2 linked regions of the Alligator mississippiensis genome follow. Each later gene encodes a partner of the first gene's protein in a complex. Links are inferred from orthologs where the notes say so. Each region holds a gene or a part of one and is shown in the gene's direction. Other genes may lie near its edges.

Region 1 (10,232 bases):
ACAGGTTCAGGTCCCGTAGCCTCTCATTGTAGGGTCTGCCCTGCTGTCCCTGGATCATGCGAGTGGCCCTCCTCTGGACCCTCTCAATGTTGTCCACAACCCTCTTGAAGTGGGGTGCCCAGAACTGGACACAGTACTCCAGCTGTGGCCTGACCAGTGTCATGTAGAGGGGGAGGATCACTTCCTTGGACCTACCTGAGATGCACCTGTGGATACACGATAAGGTCCGGTTAGCCCTGCCAACTGTGACCTCACATTGTCGGCCCATGTTCATCTTGAAAACAGTGATGACTCCAAGATCCCTTTCTGCCTCCGTGCTCTCAAGAAGGGAGTTTCCCATCTTATAAGTGTGCTGCCGGTTACTACTGCCCACGTGCAGCACCCTGCACTTGTCCATATTGAAACACATCCTGTTTTTGTTAGCCCACCCCTGCAACCTATCCAGGTCTTTCTGCAGTCTTTCCCTCCCTGCTAGTATGCCCACCTCACCCCAAATTTTGGTATCATCAGCAAGTTTGAACAGGTTGCTTTTCACCCCATCGTCCAAATCACTGATAAAGAAATTGAACAGTGAGGGCCCAAGGACCGAGCCCTGGGGGACTCCACTGCCCACTTCCCCCCAGGTCGAATATGACCCGTCCACCACCACTCTCTGAGTATGACCCTTCAGCCAATTCACAATCCATCTGACTGTGTAGGCATCGATGCCAGTCGCCTAGTTTTTTAATGATGATGGGGTGGTTGACAGTGTCAAAGGCCTTGCTGAAGCCCAGAAAGACTACATCCACTGCGACACCTGTATCCAATGCTTTTGTGACCTGATCTTAAAAGGCAATCAGGTTGGTCTGACGTTGTAGGGTCTGACATTGTAGTCTAAGTGCACCAACTGGCACGAATCATTCGAAAACAAATTCAGAAGGAGAAAATTCATAAGCAACTTTTACTTCCCTATCCACATTAAAAAAAACTCTAATGTGCCTGGCAGAAAATCTAACACTCGGAGTTGGTGGCCCCAACTGCCTTGAGTACAATAGCCAGGACAAAAGAGTAAGTGGTAGCAATGGAAAAGGTTTTCCTAGCTACCAAGGAGGGTAGGTGTTGCAAAAATAAATAAATAAATAAAATCAAATCTGGTCACGTCAAGTTGATGTGGGGGCTGAGGGGGATCCAGGAAAGGGTCGGCTGGGTTGTGGCCACAAACCCAGCACGTACAGATGGGTACTTTCGACCGCTGGAGTAGAATTAGGCACAAACGCGTACTGGTTCAAACAAAGATGGCTTTACTTACACTGTCGAGATGTACAGCGTAGGAAGAAAGTTAACTTCAAACTTCAGTTTCAGTTTAACCGAGGAGCTCTGATAAGACGAGATATCTTTAATACGAGCATTCAGGACATGGGGGTACGTCGGGGTCGGTCGGCGATGGGGAGTCGGCGGCAGTTGATCAGTCTGCCATGTTCACTCCGAGATGGGCGCGGAGTTCTCCAACTTGGGCGGAAACCGCTCCAACCTTTTATACGGCTAGCGAGCCAATTGCTAGTCGCCACATAGGAATAATTTAGAACCGGCCAAGTGAATTTGCATATGAGTGGCGAGAACCTTTCCACGCCGGGGCTCTCCACTGTGCCGAGAAATTCCCTCGTACAAAATCTCACCGTGCCTTGTGCTAGAAAGTTCCACTGTGCTGAGGCACTCAACCACTAGGCTCTGACAGTTGACTGAATTCCCAGAAACCTTTTCGAGACAATTCAGTTAAGAGCTGGCAATAATTGTGGCCTAAAGTTAACCCCAGTAAAATGAATGTCAAGGAACATCCAGAACAATGGAACAATGGAACCAGAAATTAAAACAACGTTGTGATCATTGCAACTAATTAGTGTGGGAACAGGAAAATATTCCAGGTGCGTTAAGGCTATGCTATTATAAAGCTTCCAAAATATTATATAATCAAGCTTGGCTAGCCTTAGTAATGGTGACATCACTAAAGGTTTAAATAGTAGGGCTGTGAGAAGCTTCAGTCACCAATTTGATTCACCGGAGATTCAGCCCAATTTGGTGGCCAAATCTCCAAATACAAATCAAATCAGGAGACCCTTTAATCTCTCCGAATTGAATCAGAACCCTCCAAAATTGATTCAGAGAGATTCAATGATTCAGACATAGACACAGCTTTAAATGTTTTTTCTACATATCTCAAGGTACCAGGCAATTTGTGAATGCTGGGAAGGATGGAGCGCCCCATAGGAGTGCAGGGGAGTCTGCAGCATGCTCAGTGGTGCACCTGGAAGTGGACCAGAAGTGCTTCCGGTCCACTTCCAGGTCCGCCGTGGAGCGTGCAGGGGACCCCCTGCTCTGCCCCTTAGCTTGGCGACTGGTGCCTCCTGGGTCTGGTGGGGGCACCTGTGCACTTGACAGCAGACCTGGAAGTGGACCAGAAGTACTTCTGGTCCACTTCCAGGTCCGCTGCCAAGCACCTGGGGGGGCCCTCTCCATGTTCCTGTAGGATGCTCCATCCACCCCATGCTCCATCCACTCCACCATCCACGAGCCGCACCTGGTACCTCGAGGTATGTAGGAAAAAAACCCAACATATAAAGCTGTGTCCATGGCCGAATTGCTGATTCTCTGAATCAGCATCGAATCTTCATATTTGGATTCAGACGAATTGAATTGAGACAGTGATGCAAATCAATGAATTGATCACTGTCCCCCGATTCAGGCCGAATCCAAATCAAATACAACCCATTTTGCACACCCCTATTAAATAGCCTAAGCAAGTAAAATCACCATTCGCTGTTTGAATCACCTTCATGGATTTTTGAGGGAGGGACCGGCATGGATTTCTAAAGGAAGACCAAGCCTTCAGGTTTGGAAGATCGCAACCCAGGAAGCTCACCCAGTACGACTGACAGAGGGGAATGCCTCCTGAGTAACAGCTCTAAACAGACTGTGATGCGGTAAGGAGCCACGTTAACACACTCGGTTTTTGACAACTGCCTGTTTATATTTTGGCAATCCCAGTAAAGTTGACTACTTGTATACTGGCAACCCCAGTTGTTTAGTTGCTTTGTGTTTAATGGATAATTTTGTAATCAGTAAAGCTTCTAACTAATTATCAAACAAGTGCTGATAGTTAATCACATTGTTCTCCTTGTCCACAAAAGAGTAGGGCTCAAATTTCAGCCCAACACCCTGCCACCCCAGCGTTGCCAGTGCCCTTCGCTCCTGACCTGCAGCCCCGTGACCCCCCAACACTGGGATGGGGCTGCCACCTCGTGCCAGTTCAAAGCACCCTCTGGTGCACAAAGGGGTGAACTACAAAAAAGCTGCAGCGCCATCGGTGGACAATGAAGGTCATCTTTGAGTGCTTTTGTGTTTGCACGCAATGAATCCATAGCTACGGCGATGTAATCGGTGGTGACACAAACTAAACTATGTCCCAGGAGTTTTATTTTAATGCGCTGAAAAGACTTTTAAAAACTGCAGGAAATCCCATTCGTGCAAGCAAAACCAGTTGCAGTGTCCTAAAGGGCAAATCTCGTGGCGTGTACATGTAGTCCAAGAAGCTAACTCTGAAAGTGGTATCTGGCTTGCTCCACTGCTAAATTAAATCATACAAAGAAGCCAAGCTGCTGTGTGACCTTATCACCCGAGCAATCAATACTTTCAAATATCTTTTGTCAATATGTCACACAAAGAAACATCAAAAGGAGTCAGAGCTTACTGACACTCACACATCCTGAAAGAGGGAAATGGGGTATAATATAAGCTTTGCAAACCTTCAAGGCTGAGGCACTAGAGTGCTGCTGCAACTTTTCTCTTAGGAAAGACTTCCCATGATCAAATGAAACTTTGATGTCAAGTAGGGAAAAGAAAGAATCATTTCCAGGATCCCTTTTGCAGGATGGAGGACCTATGGATTTTGTCTGAAATCCAGGCCTCAAGGTGCTTGCTGCTGTATGTGCAGAGACACATGCACAGATGTGTGTGTGCACACATACACGCACGGAATAAGGAACAGTCTCTATACCTAAGAGCTTATAATTTAAATAAACCTGACAAACAAAATACAACATCCCCATTTCACAGGTAGAAGAACTGAGGCACAGAGTGACTTAATTAAAAGGACACACCAAGAATCTGTGAGAGCCAGAAACAGAACTCAGATTTCCTAAGTCCCAGTAAAAACACACAGACCCAACCTTCTTCATTTTTCTGTTCTAGCTCCCCAAAATGGCTCTTTAGCAAGGCGTGTTCATCAACAGACTATATACACTCTTCTGCTACAGTCCCCAGATTTTCATCTTCTTCCCCAATGACCCTTTTAATAAGATGTTTAGCACCTATTCCTCCACTGTACCTTTCTAGTTAAATAGTATCTCAGTAAAACCACCCCTAGTTCAGTTCTGACATGGCTTATGATCATACGGAATACACATCAACTCCTAACTTCTTCATGCTCCAGTAGCTTGAAAGAGAGACAAAAGGAAAACCTCCTTGCAACAGAATTATAATACTTTGACTTTTGCACTGTTTGTTATCTGTGAATAGCAGAACACTTTGCACCCATGGTGCCCTCTGTCTTTACAAATGACAAGAAATGTTAGCTGCCCGGCTAGAAGTTCCTCAAAGGACTCCAATCTTCACAAAGTGCTGATCCCTTTGGAAAATATATATCTATATATATCTAGCTATATCTATATAGCTATATATCTAGCTATATAGATATAGATATATCAGGCTGTCATAGGGGTTGGATGGCCAAAAATCTGTGTACCAAACACCAGTAGTCATGTTTTTAAAGCATAGGCTTCCTAATATCCCTCTGAAAAAGAAACATTTTATAGAAGAAAAAAGTAAGGCACAGATGACTTGCACAAGGGCACAGGAGACATCAGTGGTAGGGACAGCAAGAGTATGCAGGCATGCTAATGCCTAGCCTGAGCAGAAAGCAGGAGTTCTACCCCCTGGTCCCAGACCATTCTACCTTCTCCTTCTATTGCAGTTGTTACGCTTTACCTTTAGCTTCCAGTGAGCAATGCAATATATAGTCTGATTAGGAGCAGGGAAAGAGCAAAGCCAACAGGGAGAACAGGGCTTGCGCCAGAACAGAGCTGACCAAACACAGCTGGCATAGAATAATGCATGGGGAGAAGCAAGCTAAGGTTGGCCTGAATCACTATTAAGTCTACCAAGAAATATTCTCATCAAGAACAGGTACGTACGAGGTGCAAAGTTAACCCACATCATTAGCTTGGTATATATCGTAGCACACACACTTGGTAATTATACGGTGCCCATGACTGGAGAGGTCAGGACAAGCAGACAGCTTTTTAGGGGTCAACAAGCACCCTGCTTCCACACTTATTCGGGGACATTCTGCATCTAATCTTAAAAGATGTGGAATTTCTCACAGTCCCTGCAAGAGTTAAGAATCAGAGGACAAAGAGCCACAGAAGAGCTGCGGCGTTTACTGCTCATCACACCCAGTACCCAGGTACCGGTAAATGAATCATAAATGATTCATCCAATAGGGCAAGGAGGCAAAGGTTGAGCGGCAACAGTTGGGAATTAGTGCCAGCCATGCAATGTTCTTCACCACCATTCGGAGGAGTAAATGGATGACAAAGTACTGCTGACTCCAAGGGAGGAAAGAGGCAGGAGTGCTCCACCCACAGCCAGGGTTTCCCTTTGCTTTCTGCCGTCTGCGCCATGGCTGTTTCTCATCGGCTCTCTGCCTACGTACTCTTTCTGCTGCTACCCCTAATACAGAGCCAAGGTAAGTCAATGCCTTTGGAGTCCGGATGGATGAAAGTGAAAAATCTCCTTGGTTGCCTACCTCAGGATGTTGAATGCCTTCTTCCAAGGCATCAGCCACAGCTGGAGACTAGCTGCTGGAGTAAATGCACCTTAGATCTGATCCAGTTTGGCAATTCCTGTGTCTGACGGAAATATTGTGCCTTTTTTTCAGGATGCTCTGTAAATAATGCCAAGCCATTGGTACGAGAAAATAACTCTGCTGGCTTAGTGGTGACCAACATTACAAAGGCTGCTGGTATCACAGTAACAATCAGTCCCACAGCGGATGGAAATTGCTTCTCCATTCGTGACACAGAACTGATTCTAAGCTGTTCCTTGGACTATGAGGTAAGTTATTAAATGAAAAAAGGCAAATATCAGCTAATTTAACATTGCAAAACACTTTCTATAATGTACTTTTTACTGTGACAGTCCAATGGCTCTGTCAGTCGTAGCAAGTGAAGCTTTTTAAAATGGCGCCTACCTTTTCAGTTTCTCTGAGCTTTAATAGCCTAAGCAGGGAACCTGCATGTACAAGTCTGGCCCAACTACTGTCTTGTTAGAAATCCACTCCAGGAAGGGCATAAGGCATGTTGCTTAATGGAGCAAGATATGGGTTCTTAAGTGGAAATCTGTCGAGTCAGTGGAGTTCTGAACCCAAGCAGCTGGTCCATGTGCACGTCTGGTCTGTGTGCATTTGTCAAATAAAGCTAGCATGTAAAAAAAAAAAAATCCTGTTCCCTTCCACGGCCTTTCCATTTTGAAATGTAAATGTTCAATCTTGTTAACTATTTCCCAGCTAATTAGTTTACGATCCATCCACTGGGATCATGCCAAGCTCTCCTCCTCAGGAGTCAAGGGTCAGTTTCCTACCCAGCTATAACTCCCCCGTCCTGTACAAGCTTTACCTTGCTCCCAGCAACAGCTTTTCCAACATAGCCATGTTTTTTCAGATGTAAAATTAAACTCTGCGGCATGTTGCACAATAATAAATTGAATCTAAAAATAAACACCTGGGGCCCCCCGTCTGTATTTGCTGTATGATTCATTGTCATCCCATTCAATTAAAATCTCCATTTTAGCTTGCCTGAATCTACTTCAGATCTCCCTGTAGACAAAATTCCACATTACAGCCAGGGGGGCATCAGTTGTACGGGGGAGTTAGACAAGCAATTGGTCCTCATAATGGATGTAATTGCAGCAATTGGTATCTGTTAAACAGAAAACCTGCAAAGCTTCTAAGACCGCTCGCTCTCTCTCTCTCTCACACACATCCACCATAGAGAGCTCCTCAGTTCACTCTCATATGTAAGGATGGTCTCTGATCTGTTTTATACCTCTGTAAAGGTGAAACAATTTTTTGGAAAACGGTGGAATTATTTCAAGTTGGTAGTCATGGTACTGAGATCAGAAACTAATTGGAAACCTGTAAAAGGAAAGGAAAAATCCCTATCATTTTTAATTTAACAAAAGGATCCTGGAGGCCCTAACTGATCAAAGCACGTATTCTCTTATTTTACTTGAAGCATAGGCTTTCTTTAAGTACATTAGAGGAAGAAAGTCTGCCAGAGACTTAGTTGGGCTACTGGATAATGAGGGTGTAAAAGAAATGCTTAAAGAGGACAAGGCTATTGTTGAGAAATGGAAGTTATGCACAGATGTAGCATTTGTCACGGGAGAAAGTCTTTTGTTCTGGGACTGTACAGAAGTACATGTCTGCTGTCCTGCTTCAGGTCCCTCTGCAGTAGGCAGATAAAATGTACTAACACTTTTTTCCCCAGGATACCCTATTGTACATCTGTACGATTATGACAGTTCATTCCAGTCTCTTGGGCTGTGTGCTCTTGCTGGCCACCTACTACTGAAAAGGCAGCAATGCATCTTGGAAAGGCTACATGTGTATATGACTGTGCAGCTCCTGTTTTGATTCAAGTCATACCTCTGGGTAATCAGTCCTGAGTCAGAACAACACATCTGTATACAGCCTAAATGAGTTCCTTGTATCAGCCTTACTGGGGAAGATGGTGGGTAGATTCTCTCACCAGAGCCCAGGGGACAGGTCAGTAGAACTGATTCACATTGAGGTATCAGTAGATGACATTTTAGAAGATATTAATAAACTAAACAGGAAGAAATCACCAGGACCTGATGGTATTTACCTTAGAGTCTTGAAGGAGCTCAAATCTGAAATAGCTGATCTACTTGCTAAATATACAATCTGCCACTAAAAACAGCTTTGGTACCAGAGAACAGGAGAGTTGCCAATGTAATTTCAATTTTTAAAAAGGCTCCAGAAGGACTTGGGGAAATACATCTAGCTTGTGTTCCTGGCAAAATGGTAGAAGCAATAATTAAACAAGTATTGTTCAGCATATGGACAAGCAGGCCTTGCCAGGGAGAAATCAGCCTGGTTCTGTAAAGGGAGGTTATATCTTACCAACCTGCTAGAGTTCTCCAAGTGTTTCAACAAGAATGTGGATCAGGGAAATCCAGTAGTCCAGTTGATATAGTATATCTGAACTTCCAAAAAACCTTCAACCAAGTCCTACATCAAAGGCTCTTAAAAGTAGGTTGACATATGATTAGAGGGAATGTCCATTTGTGGATCTGAAATTGGCTTAATGATAAAAAAACAGAAAGTAGGGATAAACAGTCAATTTTCAGAATTAAAAGAAGTAAACAATGGGGCCCTGCAGGGATCTGTGTTGGGACAAGTGCTGTTTAAAATATTTGTAAGTGACCTGGAAAAGGGGATCAGTAGTAAAATGGCCAAGTTTGCCAATGACATAAGATTATTCAGAATGGTAAAGGCCAAAGTGGACTGTGAAGAACTACAGAAATTTGTCATAAAATTGAGCAAATGGGCAACAAAAGGGCAAATGAAGTTCAATGTTGATAAGCACGAAGTGATGCACATGGGATAAAATAACCCAAAATATACATGCATCATGATGGGCTCTACATTAATTGTTACCACACAGGAATGAGATCTTGGTGTCACTGAAATTCTAGCATTGCTAAAAGCACTAGCTCAATGTCCAGCAGCTGTCAAAAAGAAAAAATGAAATGTTCAGAGTTATTAAAAAGAGAATTGTAAACAAACTAAAAAGTATTATTATGCCCCTTAATAAATCTATGGTGTATCCTCACCTTGAATAATACGCACAGTTTTGGTTTGCACACCTCACAAGGGATATAGAAGAATGAGAAAAGCTACAAAGAAGGGCAACAAGGATGATCTGAGAAAGGGCTTTCAAATGAGGACAGACTAAATAGGCTGGGACTTCCCAGCTTGGAAAAGAGATGCTTGAGGGAAGACATGACAGAGGTTTACAAAATATTAAATGGTGCAGAGAAAGAAAATAGTAGAGGCGTAGTGAGCTCCTTCAGCACCTAGGGCAGGAGGAAGGGATTATTCAGATCAGTTGCAGACCAGCTACAGCAGTGGACTCCCTAGGAGTCACTCCTAGTTTCCTGTTTACTCCTCCTCCCTGCCCAGATATACTACAGGGGGCAGGGCTGCACCTGCCATGGCAAAGACTCCCTAGGGTGTAAGGGGGAGCACCACTTCATTAACTTCTTACCCTCCAAAATACGGTACTGGGTGAGGGGCTGTCCCTGCTGGGCTCCTGTGGGGGCTATCCCTGCTCTGGCAAAAATTCCTGGGGTGCAAGGCAAATCTGGCACCCTATCTAAGATAGCCCCTGGGACTGGTGCCCTAGGCATCTGCCCGAAGTTACAATACCGGTAAATAGGGATTTGTTATTTATTACCATTCACAATGCTAAAACTAGGGAACATAATAGGAAATTATTAGATAATAGATTTAAAGCTAACAAAAAGAAGCTCTTTTGCAGAGAGCATATCATTAACTTGTGGAACTGGTTGCCACAGGATGATGTGACAGCTGGTACCTTAACCCAGTTCAGAAGAGGATTGGACCAATTCTTGGAGGAAGTATCCATGCATAGGTATTGAGCATGGTAGACAGCCATGCAGCCTCTGAATAAGCGCTCCCTAAGCCTCTCAGAATGCCGGAAGCTGCAGTGGGAGAGCGGCAGGGAGGGGAAACTTCTCAACTTGCCCTGTTCTGCCACAGTGTGACAGGATACTTGGCTATGCCAGTAAATGGCACTTATGTGCTTTTTAATGTTTTTCAACTGACTGTTTTGCTTTGTTGTGATTTTTTTTGTTAACACAGAAACAAGATATATACATTTTAACCCTGCTTTGCACTCAAGGGAATGTACAAGTAAGTATCATTTCTAAAAATTCTGCTATATTAGTTATTATTAGATAGTAGTAAGCAACACTGAATGCTGGCATTAAGTTTCTTCTTAATTGACAATCCTTCACAAGGGTTGTGGGTTTCTCATGCTTAAAGCATTTACTTGTCATGGAAAAAGGAAAATCCCAGACCATCCACAAGATTT
Region 2 (10,397 bases), on another chromosome or scaffold:
TAATTTGTTTTCTGAAAGGACAATTTGCAAAGCAAATGAATAGAACAAACCCTGGACCATTGACCTATGTTAGGATCATAGGAAAGTAGAACTGGAAGGGACCTCACAAGGTCATCTAGTCCAGCCCCCTGCTCAAGATAGGATCATGCCTGACTATGCCATCCCAGCCATGTGTCTATCCAACCTGCTCTTGAAAATTTCCAGGGATGGAGATTCCACCCAATGCAGTAGTATTTCTCTTTCCCTTCATTTGGTCAGCACAGCCTAAACCAGGGGTGGACAAAGTCCAGCCCACAGGCCGAACCAAGCCTGCAGCAGACTCCATTTCCCAGCAGTCTCTGCCCATGTCACTGCAGCTGGTTTCCATGGAGACTCCAGGAGCAGCAGAGCTGAGACAAGGTGAGGCCAGGGTTTCCATGGAGACCAACCCCAGCAGTGCTGGCTGGGCATGCGGCGGGGCGGGGAGCTGCTCCAGGGCTGGGATCTTGCAATAGTGACAGCGTGGTCCAGAGCTGGGGCAGAGCTGCAATCTGCTGCCAACGTGCCCCAGGCAGGGGTGTGCAGTCAGTGGATCGCAGCTCTGCCCTGGCTCTGGACCACACTGTCACCACTGCAAGATCCCAGCACCGACCCTGGAGCAGCTTCCCGCCCAGCTGCATGCCTGGCCAGCGCTGCTGGGGCTGGTCTCCATAGAAACCCTGGCCCCACACTGTCACAGCTCTGCCACTCCTGGGGTCTCCGTGGAAACCAGCCACAGTGACATGGGCGGGGAGTGCTGAAAAATGGAGTCCGGCTGCTGGCCAGATCCACCATTTTGCCCCCTTCCCCCCCCCCAGATCCCCCCGGCCTAAACTGATGGTTGCAAAAAATGTTTATACCTAAAGAAACCTGAAGAATCAAGTCTTCAGACAAGAACAATTAACCAAAGCTGATTGGCAACAAGGTTGAAATCCTACTTAACTTTTTATGAGAATTGCATAGTGCAAGAGGATGTAAGTTTGTGGCTGGACCTTCTGAAAAGAAATAATGAGGCACCACTTCCAGCTTATCTTACTGTATTTATGATGATTTTAAGAGGCTCCTATTTGTCTGGTATGTAACTGTATGAACTGTCTATCCTTGATTTATTAGAGACATTCTCCATATGGACTTTGATAGGTGCCTCCTCCTGATTTACTCTGGTTTTGCCTCAGTGGTTCCCTTGATCTTCGAAGGGCAACTCCTCCGAAGCTTTGTGTTTTTCTTGGTTGTTAATCAATTTTTGATACGTTCCAACTTAATAGAAATGGATAACCTCCTATTAGCGAGGAAGGTAATTCAATCAAAATTGGGACTTTCTGATAACCAATAATGAACAGTTTGATTAACAGGATTTTCCTGTTCATTACTGCTTGGGATTCTCTCTTGATTTACACAACTACAGGAATGCTTTTGAAGATGCTGAGCTAGAGGATGTGAAAGAGGAATGAAGCAGCTAACAGGAGAAATCATTCTGACAAGAGCTGCTGCTGTGCCCCGCTGATCGCCTGGTGAATGGATCCACACCTTGAGAAGCTGGCAAGGTTGAGACCACCTCTTTGCCTGTAATTAGTGAGAAACTATCACTTTTACAGCTAAATGTACTGGATTTTGCTTTGCTTTAGGCTCATTTAACAGTCAATACCTGTAGTAAATAATGCTTTTCTGTCATCCGTTGAATGAGTTGTCCTTCCAATCCTTTCTTTATACACTAGTCCTGAATCCCATTTCACTTAACAAGCATGAGCTAAACCCATCGATTTCAAATAGGAACTCATAGTGTCAAAAATAATCTGACCTGTTGTAGTCTGAGTTTTGTGCAAAAGAAAAAACGCTCTATTTTTTTACTGCAGTTAAAAAGGAGTGAAAGCAAAGAGCTGGCATTTGCAGAGGGGTTCCTTGAGTCTAAAAAGGTGAGAACCAATGTGCTAAAAAAACCCAAATATTGTGTGTGGGGAGGAGGACAAACGTAAGTGAATCACTGCTTCTGCTACCACAAAAACCTCTACATGTGCTGTTACATATTCCATGTGCTATGCTATGAGGAACACAGATATGTCAGGCTTTGGGCAATACCACTAAGGATTTCCTTAGATTCTACCTGAGTAGAAGTTATTGCTGGACAGTCTCAGCCAACATCTTGGATGTGGATTCATGCTCTAACCTCTCTAACTCCTAATGAGGCTGAGTCAGGGATGGTCAAGATTTCATATAGTACAAGGGACTTGAAGGACTGCAGCAAGAGTTTTGCCTGTGCAATGCAAGTAGGACCACGTATTGTTACATTGTCATTGATGGATGTAGCTGTAATTACTAAATGCAACTGGATTCATTAATCTTTTAACCTCTTAGTATTAACAGATCTCATTATACAAGCTGAGGGGGCTTACTTACCTCCTTTCATATGACATTCCCCATCCTGAACTTGCCATTTACAAAAGTGTAGTCAGGAACTAGTGTGCTATACCTCATGCAAAATAGATGGTACAATAACACCTCTGCCTTTCTAATTGGCATGATGCAAATCAGGGTTCTGAATTGCCTGCAACAAAATATCTAACTAACAATTCCATGGTCTTAGAATCCGACCATGTTGTGTATCTGCCATATTATATCTGTAAGAGCTAGGAAAACAATAAGCAGAGATGTTGAGAAATCCGTTAACAAATCAAGACCGTTAGTTAAATAATTCATTAGTTTAGAACAAGACATCCAACATCAGTGGAGTTTCTCCTGAGCCTGATGAGACATTTCAATTTGAAGTGGAATGGTTCTGAACTTTTTTTCAACACAAAAAGAAAAGCTCCATTCTAATTGCTCAGGAGACTTTGCAATTTTGAACTCGACTGTGAAAAGAAAATCTCCATTCAGGCTGACAAATTTAGCTCATTCAATGTTGAATCATTTATTATGTTTTAAGCTCTGGTTTTAAGATGGGGACAAAAACTAACAAACACCAGGGCTTTAGAAATAGATGGAAATGTGGTTTGATCTCTCTGTGCTGCCTGTTTTTGCGACAATCACAATAAGCCTTGTGACGTCCTGTACTTTCTTTCTTCCTGAAGCAGGTTTTGCTTTGCATTCAATTAAAATGTGCAACAAAAACAATTTCTTTTGAACATCAGAAGAAAAAAACATTCTTTTAAAAGTGGATCCTTTCATTTTAAGCAATAAAGATTACTTAGAGAATACTGTTTCTTACTGCAGAGGCTAGTAAATTTGTTTTTATAGGAGAAAATGATTTTGGAGAGAAAGGTAGAAAATTCTCTTTTGCTATTTCCCAGTTTTAAAACCGGCCAGGGATGTAGCTAACAATTTGAAATGCTGTTGCACAGAAGACAGTAATGACTCATCTCATGCTATACTTATGAGCTCATAAAATCACTAACAGCTTACAGCTATCCAATATCTACTAGCAGTATCTATTAAATTAGATATCCATGACAGTATTGAATACAGTAACAAAAATGCCAGAGCTCAAGGAATCTTGAATCCAATAAATTATAGCTTAATGCAGTATCATATATAGCATACGCTTCCATACAGCTGTGTTTTTTCTAGCATTTCCAACTTTGATCCAATAGCAAGGAGAACAGTGAATACAGTCACTGGAAAGGCAAGTCAATTTATTTTAAGTTTTTGGAAAAAAAACAATTTCTGGTAATTGATATTCACCCAGGAGGATGAAGAAAGGGGCATGGGTGTGTCTGGATACCATGTTCTGTTATAACACATGGTACACATGAACAACCAAGGTGGGTAGTAGCCACCCTGATCATACATTATTGCAATAGGTGGGTGGACTGCTATACAGGGCATAACAACATAATTTTGTCTTCAATACTTGTTCAGTTTAAGAGTGTTTATTACGGCATGAGTCTGGTCCTCTCTCTCTGTCAACACATGCAAACCTTGGCTCCTGAAGATTTCAGCCCCATCTGAAAAGATATTTGAGGTAGGAAACCTATTTGTAGGGGCATCACAGATGTAATATGGAAGGGATTGTGGAAAACAAATGAGACTTCACTGCATGCAGCAGTTATACTGATTCAAGTAAATACTGTTTTGTAATTGCTACTTCCACTCTAGCTGAGAGCATACCAAAGAATAAAAGGCTCCAAACGTCAAATCCTGTTAGTGCTAATTCTTGCCTGCATGTTGTGTAAAGTACTGGTTAAAGCAGTGAAATGTATAAAACACCACCGGGGAAAAAATAATGCTAAATGACAGGTATATTGATTGTAACCAAGACAATAGAAGGGCAATTTGGGGCTTTTTATTAAACAATCAGTCTTCCCACATCGATTTCTGCTTAGCTACTGCTTCAAAACTGACCTTTTACATTGACTTCAGTCTAGAATTCTTCTGTATCTCCAGGTTAGAATTTGGGCCCCATCCCGCAGGCTTTTCCTCGCACAGTGATCTTTATTCATACAAGTCAAGCCAAAGGTGCACTCAAGCCTAATGGCCCATAAAGCTAGTGTGATTCTAGCACTCCCGCTTCTGTAGCCAATACCACACAGGGCACAATGTGGTTGCCATCACATTTGGCCATTTTTGGCTCCCCAGCCTGAATGACCATGTTCCATTTGCAGCTGGGTCAATTGGACTGCAGCTCTAAGCAAATGTCCAGAAGGGGTCTCAAAACGTACGTTTCTTGAACCACAGTGAGATACTTTAATGGCTTTTCCCATCATACCCCTACTGTATTCTTACAGGCCATCCAGTTAAAATTAGGGGGACCATACCCCCAAGGGGAAGACCTCTTATTATGAGGATGGGGGACCGACTGGGAGGCCAAGCCCAGGACTATTGAATTTTATTTCTAGCTCTGCCACTAAATCACTTTGCTACCTTAGGCAAGTCATTAAAACTCTCTGCATCTCCCATTTGCCTGTCTGTAAAATGGGGATAGCAATACCTATTAGCATATTTCATATATGTAACACCCTTTAAGATCCTGAGATGAAGTGAGCTGTATGGTGAAAAATATCATTCATTTGGTTTTATTTTCACAGACAAGGTGAATTTGTTGTAATTAGCTAAGAATAAAAGACTGCATAGTCTGAAGTGTAGTGGCTTGTAATGTGTTCTGTTTCACCCACCCAGGGTTGGTTTTAACACAGAGTAGAATCTTGCTCATGCTGAAATCAATAGCAAAGCTCCCTTTGACTTCACCCCAACTGTGTAAGGAAGGGGAAGAGGGACATGTGGTTAGAGAAAGAATCCCCCTTAATTTTTAACTGTAAAATACTGGAGTTAAAAGCAAATGGACAGTCACTTCACAGAAAAGACACCTGTATAGCAGCTGCTTTAGTGAGGCGGTGTTCCAGGCAAGTTGTGTACTGGGATGAACTTTGCCTTTTTATTTCAATCCGGAAGCTGACATCTTGGCTTGTAATTATTAACTAACTATCCTGATAGCGAAAGTGTGGCTGCATGCACCTGCTAGAACTCGGAGTGAAACAGTGCCCCAGGACGCTGCTGTGGGATCTACTGAAAATGTCGACCAGGTATCACAAAGCAGCTGCTGACGGCAATCTGGACCTTTTGAAAGAAGCGACCAAAAAAGATCTCAATACTTCAGAAGAAGATGGGATGACACCCACCCTTTTGGCAGCTTATCACGGGCTTCTAGAAGCTCTGGAAGTCATATGCAGCAGAGGGTAAGTATAACAGGCCTCAACCTCTCAAAGCCGATGAAACAAAATTACAATTATCATGCAGCACCTTTTAATGCAAATACTGGTGCAAATGGGCAGTTTCTTGCTTTCTAAATTACTTGTTTTCTTGTGGGGGCTTTCAATCTTTATCATGTGTAGCTGCTTCATTTTTTTTCTATTGGTTGAGCCCAGTGGTATTCAACCGGCAGGCTGGATCGGGCAGAGAGAGTGAATCAGTCCTGTGCCACTCATCAGGTCCGCAGAGCCAGATGGATGGGGTGCTACTGGTTTAGGCCATAATCAAACAAGCTGCTCTGTACAAATCAGGCCCCGGTGCACTAGCATAGACTTACAGGCTTCTATGGCGTCTGAGCAATGTATAGTTTTAGAAACTAGGATGCAGGACTGCTGCTAGCGAGAGCTACAGGAGCTGCCATTTACTTCAACGGAAGTTGGAATACACCCTTAACTTTATAGTTTTGTAAATTAAAGTACATTTAATTAAAGTGTATTTAATAGCCTCCAGATAATTTTCAGAAGGAAACCAGAAAGAGCTGAATCTAAAAATGTGATTTTTCTGCTCTTGATAGCATTAGAAACTGAAGTTATGCCTGAAAAACAAATCTGTGCTTCTGCTGGAGCTGGTAAAATTTCAGGAAAAAAATGCAAAGGAATTAAATATAGACTAAAGGAGGTTTCTCTGATGTAGTTTTTCCTCACATTAATTATTAAATGCACCAGCACTATAGATAAATTATAAAAAGGTCATTCCCCTACTCTGGATTGCCCACTGTTTCCTCCAAGTCTTCTCTTTAGGCTGTCATCCTAGGGGTCTATTTCTTAGTGGAGTCTTCCACTGGGGAAAGAAGGGGACTAGAGCATTTTCACTTGGGGAAACCATCAAAGAGCAGAGGGCAGAAAACTAAGGAAAGATAAATACTTCTTTAGTTGTGTTTTGCCCTTCTGCAAAAATAGAAAAAAAGTTCCCTGTACATGGTAAGTGTAATAGGTAGATGCCCCTCTTAGCTTCTTGATCTAAGGTGTGGCTATAGAAACACCTGACTGCCAATAAAAGAGACCTTTAGACTATATAGCTATTGCTATAACCTTAGGAAAAGCAAAAAACAGAAGCCAGATTCTAAATTGGTACAAAACAATATGTAATTCCAGTGATGTTGCTGAAGACATTGGAGATCTGGCTTATAATTTAGGAAAAGATAAAAAGGGAAAATTAACTAGTTAAGAAAAATAAATAGAGCAAGATAACGTGTTCCCAGGTTCCACGGTCTTATATACACCAGTGCCAATCACAAAATAGGGCACAGAGCACAAGGATTTCCACAGAGCTGTATTCTCTATTCATTAGTTACACTAGTTTATTTAAAATTGGTATCAGCTTGGTACAGGACAGCATCCAAAAGCTTCAAACCTTTATTACTGATGATTTCCTGAAAGCTTTCATTTTAACCTGAGACTCCTTAACTTTGAGAGTCAGAGAAACTGGTCTAAATCTCAGCAATGTTTGTTTGGGTCTTTGGAAGAAGCTGCATTTTGGAAGATTTTCAAACAATGCCCCTGGCTGATGGGGCTTTCAAGAAAAAAAATTGACTTATTATTTCTAATACGTGCCTCTTTTCCTTAAAGCAAAAGGAAGGAACACCCAGTAAGGGAATGACATGGGACCCGGGAAAACTGGGTTCAGGTCTGTGCTCCACCCCAGAACTCCTGTGTAACCACAGGCAAGGCACATTAGCTGCACAAAAGTCCTTGGGTATGCAAGTGTGATTAGCATAAGGGATTTCTAAGACCATTCAGCTGCCCCATTACCATGGACACACCTAAACTTCTTACTTATGTATGTATGAATACATTTGATTTATATACTGCCCTTCCAAAAAAGCTAAGCTCAGGACCACTTTCAATCCAAAACAAAACGACACATAAAAACAGAACAAAGTATTACGTTGGTCAGTGTGACAAACTAAGCCTTCCCCAATCCTCCCACTCCCTGCCTCGCATCCAGGAGTCCCCTCCCCCTTCCCATAACGTCCCTCTGAAGCTCATCCCTCTCTCACCTGGCGGGGTTGTTCCCCAAACCCGCTCATTCTCCCCTTCCTCCCAAAGAAGCACATTATTCAGTTTATAACCAGAAATACAATGCCTGCCCCTGCCCCATCCCTGCTGAAATGTGATACCAAAGGGGACCACTGAGTGTTGCCCTTTGGTAGCACCTACCCAAAGGCACCCTGCAGTCCCCTTAAAGCCCACTAGCTGGCTGGGCTCTTCCCCTTTCCAGCTCAGGCATCTGCAGAGTCAGTGTCTGCTCCAAGTCTCAGTCCTCCCCTACTCTGGACTTGGCTTCCAGAGCAGGTGGCAGAGAGATCAGCATCCCCTGAACTGTGGGTTGCGGCAGTCCATAGGAAGCCTGGGAGGCCAGCAGAAAGAGTAGTCTTTAGCCAAGGGCAGCATGCAGTCCCTATGAATCTCTGCTTTTCAAATCCCAGGAGTATTTTGGGGGAAGGGTTAGGAATAGCAGTTTAAGCAGCAGCTGAAGAAAAACTATGGCTTCTGCCTGAACATTACCTAATTATAGTAGACATGGAGACTTAGGCCTTTTTTCTTAATAATTTACTTATTACCCATTGTGAAAGTTGCTGTTATTACCACACAAACTATGTCCTGAGGCAGTCAAATGCAGAGGTTTCCCACTGTTCCTGCATTTTACATCAAAGAAAGAAAGGCTGATCTCAGTAGCTTTTAAAATACCGTGGGTGAAATCCCAGTCCCGCTGAAAGCAGTAGAAGTTTTGTCATTGATGTCATGAACTATAATCTAGAGTCTGATCCTGCTTCTCTTGAAGTCGATTGTAAAATTCTCTGCATTGCCCAGCTGAGGCACCCCACCAGGCTTTCAAGGTGAGGGAGGCAGGCAGGGGGAAGGGAGGGAGTAATCAATTGATGGCCTGTATCAGGAGAAAATAATTACCCCTGTTATGGCTGTCATAAATTCAACCTGCTAGAAGGGGCAGTATGCACTCATCCATTCCTTGCCCTCCACTTGGGGTAGGTGAATGAAGCAGCACAGTCCCTGAACCCAAGACCCAAAAAGCTCAAAGGATAAAGGATATTTGTTCTTGTTCTTCTGTGTGGTTGGAATGCGACTTTGGCTGCAGGCCCAAAGCGCTAGCTCAGTTTCATACAGAATTGGTGATGGGACTTGAACTAGAGCCAGATTCAGCCCTGATGTAAGTAGGTAAAAGTATATTACAGGCCATAACCCTCTGTCCACATTTCTTCACTGGAACAGCATCCGCTTATCCCAGATTTGAACTTGGCCCTCAATGCATCACTGTGGCAGGCACTTATGTTTGAGATGTATTTGATGGACCTGACTCTGATGTTTTGCTCCTTAGTGGCGACCCAGACAAATGTGACATCTGGGGAAACACTCCGCTCCATCATGCTGCTTCCAATGGTCATATCCACTGTCTCTCATTCTTGATTAAGTTTGGTGCCAATATATTTGCTCTGGATAATGATATGCGCACTCCGCTGGATGCAGCTGCCAGCAGGGACCAGCATGAATGTGTCAGACTCCTGGACAAAGCTGCTACTGAACAGACCATAATGAATGCCAAGAGGGTCTCCAAACTCAAGGCCCAGGCTCAGAAGAATGCAGAGAAACAAATCAAGGAATGTGAAAAGCGCCAAGAGAAGCACCAACATGAAATGATGAGGAATTATAACAAAGAAAAGCTTGGATCAGTAAGTTCTGCCAAAGGGACAGCTTCCAGGATGAAGGTGCCCGATTTCTTTGTTCCCAATACATCAGGCACCTTCTCCAAAAGCCTGAAGGACACCTTCAGACTGAAGGCAAAAAAGAAAGATGAAAACATAGCTGATAAGGATGCACAAAAGAGTAGCCAAGAGGAGGAAGGCAAGGTTGCGCGTATGGGTGTAATGGATGTATTCAATGAAAAAGATGAGGATGAATTCTTAAATTACTCTAAAGGGAGAAACATTTCTGAAGAGGATAGCCAGCAGGAGCATATGTCAATTTTCCAACGGCCAGGTCTGGGCAAAATTGTGTTTGGAAGGAATTTGGCAGCAGACATAAATGCCAAAGAGATGTCCTTTGAGAAAGAAGGAATACGATTTAAAATATCTGGTGAGTTTTTTCAACAGAGGGAGTCTGAAAATGGAAGTGAGCTAGCCACTGAAAATGATCTTGATGTCCCTTGGAATGAGGAAGAAATTGGTTGGGAAGATGATGAAGCAGAGAGCACTCCTCTTGATGTATTTTTGGCCTCTCAAAATCTGAATGAGTTTGTTCCTGTCTTCCTCAGAGAACAGATTGATTTAGATGCCCTCATGCTATGTTCTGATGAAGATCTACAGAGCATACAAATGCAGCTGGGCCCAAGGAAGAGAGTCCTCAATGCTGTAGATAGAAGGAAACAGGCACTGCAGAATCCTGGAAAAATAGGAGATACTCGCTTATAAACAAACATGCCAGCTACTATAATTGTGCATTGATTATATTTCACTGTTTCAAAGCCTAGTACAGGTTTTTTTTCAGGGGAAAGGCAAAAAGGTTACCAGTTGATTAAGGATGCTCAACAGGATCAATAATAATAGGTTCTCTTTGAACAGACAACTTTAGGCAAAGATAAAGACTGTAGATAAACAACAGGAAAATATTGCTCGTGTTAATTTT

The links.
Region 2: CDHR5 (region 1) and ANKS4B share a complex: the UniProt entries of both Homo sapiens proteins name them as parts of the IMAC/intermicrovillar adhesion complex. The link is inferred for Alligator mississippiensis from reciprocal best matches to the Homo sapiens genes CDHR5 and ANKS4B.

The regions. Positions count from the first base shown.
Region 1 is NC_081825.1:183,256,209-183,266,440, reverse strand, and holds the start of CDHR5 (cadherin-related family member 5), read left to right. Parts: upstream 1-5,590; 5' UTR 5,591-5,712; coding exon 5,713-5,779; intron 5,780-5,971; coding exon 5,972-6,147; intron 6,148-6,283; exon of another isoform or gene 6,284-6,503; intron 6,504-10,000; coding exon 10,001-10,051; intron 10,052-10,232. UniProt on the Homo sapiens protein: Intermicrovillar adhesion molecule that forms, via its extracellular domain, calcium-dependent heterophilic complexes with CDHR2 on adjacent microvilli. Thereby, controls the packing of microvilli at the apical membrane of epithelial cells.
Region 2 is NC_081836.1:46,289,808-46,300,204, forward strand, and holds the start of ANKS4B (ankyrin repeat and SAM domain-containing protein 4B), read left to right. Parts: upstream 1-5,432; 5' UTR 5,433-5,457; coding exon 5,458-5,684; intron 5,685-9,093; coding exon 9,094-10,183; 3' UTR 10,184-10,397. UniProt on the Homo sapiens protein: As part of the intermicrovillar adhesion complex/IMAC plays a role in epithelial brush border differentiation, controlling microvilli organization and length. Plays a role in assembly of the complex.